Oryzias latipes: one gene and its partner. The protein of the gene in region 1 binds, or shares a complex with, the protein of each later gene. Links are inferred from orthologs where the notes say so. Each region holds a gene or a part of one and is shown in the gene's direction. Other genes may lie near its edges.

Region 1 (4,436 bases):
GAAATTTTTAATTGAGATAAAATAATAGGTGTAGTTCTATCCAAAATGGAATAAATTACACTAATTTAAAAAAATGTCTAAGTAGGGATGACAGAAACATCATGCCTAATGCTAAATATCTGTCACAACACCAACAAGCATACAGATAAAATACATTAAAGAGAAATTACCTGGAAAGTTTTGGCAGCGCCACCACAGCTGAACCTTAAACAGAGATTAACTCTGTTATCCTTTTCCAAAATTTCAAAGGTTCCCTCTTTCCACTTGGTGCCGCCCAGCTCAATGGTGTTAAAGCGAATCTTGACAGTGCTACCACTGGAGAGTTTGGGCACAAAAGTTGACATGGCTTGCTATCCTGATGGTCCACTTGTTAGGTCTGAATTTAAGATGTACAAAAGAAATAAACATGTCAAGAAATAGTCACACGGGTAGCCTATAATGGCAAAAACAACCTCACTTTTATGACTGCTATTGCTATTTAACCAAATAAACAGTTTAAATGAATATTTTTACCATTGCTAAATGCCACATAACAAGAAGTTAGTATTTTTGTAACTAGTTTGCTATATTGTTTTTTTTACAGAACATGCAGCACCGACGTGCCATTCTGAAGATTATAAGTGATTTAATTTGTAGCCAACAATAACATTTGCTAAAAACTTGAAATGTGTTATTCAAAATTATAATAATAAATAAATAAAAGATACAGAAACAAAACTAATATGAGATATGTAGATACGTAGCCAACATGGCAAATGCGGTTTGAAGTAAAGGAAAAAGGTAGGACTTCATAATCCAAAGTGACAAGTTAGCATAACAGTACAATATGAATTACTGCACCACAAAAATCACAAAATATAACAAACTGCATATCCTGAACGGTCATTGAATTTTAGTTTTAAACATGTTTGTGTAGAGCCTGCATTTAAACAACAAACACTGACAACTCCAATGTTGCAGAGGAGAAGCAACACATTTTGAGCTGCGTTGTGATGCTCGTGGCGCGGCCAGAACCATAGATTCAAACGATATAAACAAAAATATCAGTCTATCAACGAACTAGTCGAATAACATGAATCTAATATTAAATGTGAAGCATGCAGTGGCGTTTTTGTTTCTTTAACAGACGCTTAATATGATGGAAGAGGCCCACATTAGCAACACTGGTTCCTAAGCTAGCGGGAGCTAGCTAACACAGTAATTTGGTGATGAAAACAACCACATTCAGTGCCATCGTCATTTCATTACCTGTCTAGGATCACGGTGGTGGTTCCAAACCTATAGAATGTGGACTTGACTTCGCAGATCCTTCGAGAGCATAAAAAAGGTTTTGCCGGCATTCACCTGCTGTTCTGTATGTTTGCTGCAAGTAGAGCAGCACACTACGCCTCACAGCAACGGGCGATGATGGCGGGAATGGGAACATTTACAACGGAAATGATGAACGAGATTGCGCTCCGTTCTCCTCTCGCGATATCTGAGACGTTGTTTGTAGCGAAGTTGTCCCTGCCGAGGAAAAAAAATCAAACGCGAGATTGAAAAAAATGCCAGTGTAAACTTGGTTTATTGATACTATAACGACAATAATTTCTTTTTGTGCTTCTGTAGTTCTCAGTGTTGGGATTTCGATTGAAGTTATGTGAAGTTACGCATGTTGTGGATCCCATTTGTTAGAGCACCTAGCAACTAGCTAAGCTAGCAGTTCGTAAGCATATGTCCATGGTTCTTACGGTGAGATTTCAGGGTCGAGTATTGCGAAGAGGTGCAAACTGACGAACTTTCTATTAAAAGAGTATTTTGAGATCCCGAAAAGCTTTCCAAAATGTTGGCAACGGGAGCGGTGAGTATCAAACTATTGCATCGCTCTCACGGTGACGTTCCCTCCAATTTCGCCTAAGTACATCGAAAATCTTTTTTTTCCTCCCAAATTTCAGCTTTCTTTATTGAATTAATTTTAAAGCAGAACTTCTCTTTGCAGTTTTCAAAGAAAGACTGCATAATATTAATGAAAGCCTCGTACAAATGTAGTACAGTATGGTTTTGGTATACATGTATTGCAGTTGGCAAATCATGAGACGTTTTTGTAGTTAAATTGACAAATAATTTGATTTTGCCCCAATTTGTCATAGCAGACATTTAACAAATTTACACGCTGTCATTTCCTCTTCATGATTTGGGTTTGCAGAAGGGGGAAATTAAACGTAGGTTACATATATCTTAATTAGCGTAATGTTTTTGTTCTTGAGTGTTTCGTTTGTTTGCTTGTTTAAAGAATTGATTGCGAATGGATTGATATTTTCTTCCTATCAAAGGCTGTAACCAACGTCACAGCCCTGGCCCAAGTAGACCGTGAGAAGATTTACCAGTGGATCAATGAGTTGTCCAGTCCAGAGACTAGAGAGAATGCTTTGCTGGAGCTCAGCAAGAAGCGAGAATCCGTGCCAGACTTGGCCCCAATGCTCTGGCATTCATGTGGCACCATTGCTGCCCTGTTGCAGGTATTGGTCCACCTGTTCATTTGACACAGGTCATCCCATTGGGACTGTTTGTGCATCTGTGCCTCTTGTATGGTCTTTATTTTTGTAGTGGTGTTAAACAACTCCTTTTGTTAATTAAATTGTCCTCCTTTTTTTTTTTTTCAGGAAATAGTAAACATCTATCCGTCTATTAACCCACCAACCCTTACAGCCCACCAGTCAAATAGAGTGTGTAATGCCCTGGCACTTTTGCAGTGTGTTGCCTCACATCCAGAGACACGGTAACAAGATAGTTATTGTTACTGAAAAATCAGATTTTTATTTTTTATTTTTAGTAATTCTAATAATTAACTGCTCTTATAATGTTTTAAAGGGGTAACAGACCACAATCTGTTTTATTTATTTGTTTATTATTTGTTTAAAAAGTAACAGTCATCAGTCACTTTTAATACATACATCATACAGAATAGTGGATTTTTCCAGCATTTAGCCTTTGCAGATCTTCAGTTTAAAGCGGTTAAAAGATAATAAATATAGTATTTTCATTTTTATTAAGGCCATGGTCTAAATAAATTGTTTAATATTAAGGTTTTGTTATGTAATTCCTCAATTCACTATAATTTAAAAAAAAAAACGAACTTATTTCCATTTGCAAGGTTTAATGTGTTACATTGATTAATATGATTTTATTTGTTTTGTCCACACCAGGTCAGCATTTCTAGCTGCCCATATTCCTCTTTTCCTTTACCCTTTTCTGCACACTGTGAGTAAAACGCGTCCATTTGAGTACCTGCGACTTACCAGTCTAGGAGTCATAGGTAATTTCTCCTGCTGAGATCATGTTTTTGTTGATTTTACTTTTAATTTAAAAAGTCTTCTCTTTTAGGTATTGCTCTGATAATTCTGTTTATGTCAGATCTTGATTTGTTTGTGTGTTCTTGACAGGTGCATTGGTGAAAACCGATGAACAAGAAGTGATAAACTTCCTTCTTACTACGGAAATCATCCCACTCTGTCTTCGCATCATGGAATCTGGAAGTGAACTCTCCAAGACGGTAATTACCAATGAAATCAAAAGCAGTTTTTATCAAGCAGGAAGAAAAAAATGGATTTTGGAGTCAAACATTCAAAATATGTGTTAACAGATTTGGGTTTTGGTTTTCTAAAACCTACTCTCATGCATTTATCTATGGTATGAATTTAACTCATGTTTCTACCATTGACTATAATTCTTTTTTTTTTATCAGGTTGCTACTTTCATACTGCAAAAGATCCTGCTGGATGACACTGGGTTGGCTTACATATGTCAGACTTATGAACGTTTTTCCCATGTCGCCATGATTCTTGTAAGTATTTTAGGATTTTTGTGTTGTGCACCTATAGCATTGTTGTGATAAAGATGTACAGTCAAGACCATAAATATTTGGACAGAGACACGTTTTTTCTAACGTGTCTCTCAGATCAACTCAGATGCCATTGAAGTGCAGACTTTCAGCCTTGGTTGAACAAAAAGATTGTATAAAAATGTGAAAAACTAAAGCATTTTTTAAACACAATCCCTTCATTTCTTGGGCTCCTAAGTAATTGGACAAATTAAATAACTGAAAACAAAATGGTCATTACTAATATTTGGTGGAAAACCCTTTGTTGGCAATGACAGCCTGAGCTGACCTCTCTTGATGAGAGACTGGCGGTAATAATTGGGGAATCCCTTTTAAGTGGTGTGGTGACTGAGGCGCAGGGGGAACACCGACGCGCCAGATGCACCGGGTGACATACCCCCAAAAGCCCGCAGAGGTCCAACAGGACAGCTCGAGGATTTTTTTTTTTTTTTTTTTTTTTTTTTTTTTTTTTTTTTTTAGATTTCCAAAATTTTTCATCCAACCCACAAGAATGAGTTTCTTGCAACAGAAAAATATTTCCGCCAGTTCTTCTAAGAAAAAGAAATAATGCTTTTCT
Region 2 (3,820 bases), on another chromosome or scaffold:
AATCATCTTTTCAGTGAAAAAACTTGCAGATTCAGGGACTGTTTAGTACTTTTTGTTTCACTGTAAAACACTAAAGAACCAAATACAAAATACAAAAGCTGGTATAATCAACTTTTATTGAAGCCCCTTTGTAAAGATCCAGTTGCATGAGTGAGGGACTCTGTGTGGTACTGGAAACGGAGAAGCCCAGGCTTTGACTGAATCTATTTTTTTTACCCCTACTCTAGGTGTAGTGGAATACCTGAGTACTGGTGGAGTGGACTGCACCCATAAGGACTTCAAAGAGCTCCGTTATAGTGACTGCCTGACCAAATTTAACTGCAACGGCAAGAACAGCACGTCGAATGGCAGGATCACCCACGGCTTCAAGCTGAAGAGCGCCTATGAGAATGGCCTGATGCCTTATACCAACTACACCTTTGACTTTAAGGTAACACCTGAAGCTGCAGGGGGAAAAAAAGCTTTAAACGCCTTTCAAAAATGGTGCAAATGTATATACTAATTTAATGTACCTCCCCCTTAGGGTGTCATCGACTACATTTTCTACTCCAAGCCTCACCTGAACGTGCTGGGAATCCTGGGACCGCTGGATCCCCACTGGCTTGTAGAAAACAATGTCACCGGCTGCCCCCACCCCCACATCCCCTCCGACCACTTCTCCCTCTTTGCTCAACTGGAGTTGCTCCTGCCCAACATACCCTCCCAGGTCAATGGGCTTCACCTGCCTGCGCGCAGGTAGTTAGACCCTGCCATACCACTAGGGGGAGCTGCAACCACACCTCCCTCTCAGTTCTGCTCCCTCCCTGTACCAGCTCTTCCCTCCAGCACGCTGGAGGAGAAAGACACCTACACAAATCCACACACACACACACACATACAAAAAACCTGTAAAATATTCGTACAGTGAGGTCTGGCTGACAGGGATTTCGTATAGATACTCTATATTTTTCTTTGTTTTTCTTTTTATGTTCTTTTTTAACTGCTTGATTCAGCCCTGTTTGTGTATCATATTTTGTGTATTGGACTCCCCCTCCTTGTCAAATCCACCCCCGCCCCTCCCACCTGCTTTGCTTCTGTCTCAGACTGCAGAGGATGGTGGCTCTTTCGGCTTCCTCTCATATGTTGTGCTGTGATGTTTTGGAGTTAGAGGAAAGGTTAATGTTGCTGAAAAAAAAAGGACATTTTAAGTGAAAAGCTTGAGAGCTGAAGGTCTGCCGGTCTGTCTGTTCTGTATAAACCTAAAACCAGCAAAGACAGCAGACCCATCCCTTTCAGACCTGCACCGCTGGCTTCTTCTTGTCCTTCGGGTCCATGGTGCACCCCTCTCGGGGGGGGGACACGGAAACAACGTTCTTGTGTTTGGGGTTTTAGAGCAGCTTTTCGAGGGGTTTCTCTGGAGTGATGCAGCTCGCTTTTGTGTGTGTGTGCGTGTGTTGGGGTTTTTTTTTTCCTGCTGTCGTGCTGTGGTGCTGAGGCCTTTTATGAGGTCATGGCCTCTTGTGGTGCTACAAGACAGTCTATGCCTCCCAGCCCCGGCACATTAACCCCACAAGAAGCCCGGAGAACCAGAACCCTTAGCTTACATTTGTCCGATTTCACCGACGCCATGTAGCTTTAAAGAAAGATGGGAGAAACTGAGCGCAGCTGCTATCTGTTCTGCAGACTATTTCACCCCCTGCTTGTGTAGTTGTTAGGTTATTCTTGTGCTAGGAGCTTATGTGGCCTGTGTATCGCCTTTTTTTTTTTTTTTTTATTTCCTGGAAGGAGCAAGGGATTCGGCTGATTGGCTGGTCCATCGGGGAGCCATCACGCCCTTTATGGGTTGTGATTGCTTTTTAGGCAGAGATGGACACACCGGAGTAAAACCAGCATCCTTCTCACTGTCGGGAGTTGCCGTCCTACTCCAAACATGCAAGCGTACATGCACTCGCATACACCAAGATCTCTCACGGGCAGATTCTGTAGCACTGTCTCCAAGGCCTGTAGTGACTTTTCTCCCCCCCCCAGCCATGCGTTCCGTTCACAGAAGCAGTGGGTTCTTGGTTTCCTTTTTTTTTTTCCACAAGTCTTTGTACAGAATAGAAACCTAGACTCAGTCTTTACATGATTGTATATGAACCACAAAAGACCTGTTTTCTGGCGTTTTTTGTACAAAGAGTAAATTATGGTCAAATTTGAAAAAGAAAAAAAAGATTGTATTGTAAACTAAGGCTAAATTTTTATCCAGTTGATGTTGAGATGAATTGATATTACCAGCTTGTACAAAAGACGTAAGAAGAGGTTGTTGCAGGCATTCGCTGCCACTACTTTGCACTCCCTAAACATTGACTGTAACTTCAGTCCCCCCCCCATCCCCCACCCCTCTCTTTTGACCCTTGTTTGATTCGCCGACTCTTTGCTATGATGTAAAATGGGCAGCAAGGAAATTCTGCCTGTTGCTTCTTATCCATTAACGACGCCATTTCTTTGTCTTTTCGCCTCGTCGCCAGTAGTTTGGTCAAAGTGACATCCGAGGACGAGTACCATCTCTTCATCATTTAAGTGGTCGATATACACCCAGCCCCCCCCCCCCCCCCCCCCCCCTCCACCAATGTACATCGTGCCTCGCTGTAGCAGTTGACTTTGTCTTGCACTATTTATAAGCGGCGAACGCCTCAACAACCTTTTCTCTTATTTTTAAATACTGTTGAGACATTTGTGAAGATTTTGTCCTTTCTTTTTTTTTTGTTAATGTTTCCTTTTTTATGAGACGTGACAATGTTATATATACATATATGAATATATATATATATATATATATATATATATACACACATAAACTCTGTCCATTGACCTCTCTAATAATCAGGTATGCTTTGTCCACTGACCCTCTCTGTAAGGAACATGAGTCGTGGGGGCGTCTTCTAAACTCCCCCTTTGATTGCTGTGCTCCCTCTTTGTACCTAAAGCACTGCTCCCACCCCCCACCCCCATCCCAGCCCCCGGCTTCCTTCCTGGCCACGCGTCCCACCCACCAAACCACCCATCGTCTTTGTAACGCCCCCCACCCAACCACTTTGTATAGGTTTTCTACTCTTGTCACTGCAGCTATAGTGCCATTTGTGGAGCCCCCTACCTCTGTGTTGGTAAAAGGTGGAAAGGCCCACTTTTCCTTTACTCTTTGTGGGGGGAAAACTTTAAAAAGAAAAAAGGGTGAGGGTCAGTGAGCTTTCCTGTCAACACGTCGCTGCAAATCCAGTTTGTCTTATTCTGAAAATCCAAGTGAAGTCTGTGAGCAGCAGCGTAATCGTTTGAACGCTCATGTGGATGATGAGCACTTATCAAATTCAGAAACGGCTTTCCTCATTCCTCCCATATTAACCACTAAAAATGAATTCTGTTGCATTTTTAATGCAGGAAAGAAGCAAATCTACAGGAAAAATAATCAATTGGCCCCTCTCTAACTTCCTTTATTATGTTGTTTTAATTGCCCCCCCCCCCCCCCCCCCCCCCCCCCCCGGCGCACCCCAGCGGTAACCAATGTGTTCAATTTTGACATTTTGTTTCTTGAATGGCATTAGTATTGTAGTAGATTTAAAGGGGTAGCTTTTTTTGTAAAGTGTGAATAAAAGATGTATCTCATGTTTCCTTTCTAAAAGATGTTGGATTGTGTTGTTGATGTGCAAATCATGAATTCTTTGACGCATCGTTTTTAACACACCCCTACCCCACACACAAACACACACTTGGCGCCGAATCTACATCTCTGGAGATCATGTAGTCTTGATGGGTTGGTCCTCCTGAACAGAAGGTTTTAGTGCGTTTCCCTAGAAACCTGGAT

Evidence for each region.
Region 2: cnot9 (region 1) and CCR4-NOT transcription complex subunit 6 share a complex: the UniProt entries of both Homo sapiens proteins name them as parts of the CCR4-NOT complex. The link is inferred for Oryzias latipes from reciprocal best matches to the Homo sapiens genes CNOT9 and CNOT6.

What each region holds. Positions count from the first base shown.
Region 1 is NC_019879.2:16,425,327-16,429,762, reverse strand, and holds the start of cnot9 (CCR4-NOT transcription complex subunit 9), read left to right. Parts: upstream 1-1,462; 5' UTR 1,463-1,822; coding exon 1,823-1,840; intron 1,841-2,312; coding exon 2,313-2,498; intron 2,499-2,642; coding exon 2,643-2,758; intron 2,759-3,185; coding exon 3,186-3,295; intron 3,296-3,422; coding exon 3,423-3,532; intron 3,533-3,724; coding exon 3,725-3,823; intron 3,824-4,436. Other genes in the region: usp37 (ubiquitin carboxyl-terminal hydrolase 37), read right to left, coding at 171-344. UniProt on the Homo sapiens protein: Component of the CCR4-NOT complex which is one of the major cellular mRNA deadenylases and is linked to various cellular processes including bulk mRNA degradation, miRNA-mediated repression, translational repression during translational initiation and general transcription regulation.
Region 2 is NC_019868.2:16,555,658-16,559,477, forward strand, and holds part of CCR4-NOT transcription complex subunit 6, read left to right. Parts: intron 1-227; coding exon 228-430; intron 431-523; coding exon 524-739; 3' UTR 740-3,820. UniProt on the Homo sapiens protein: Poly(A) nuclease with 3'-5' RNase activity.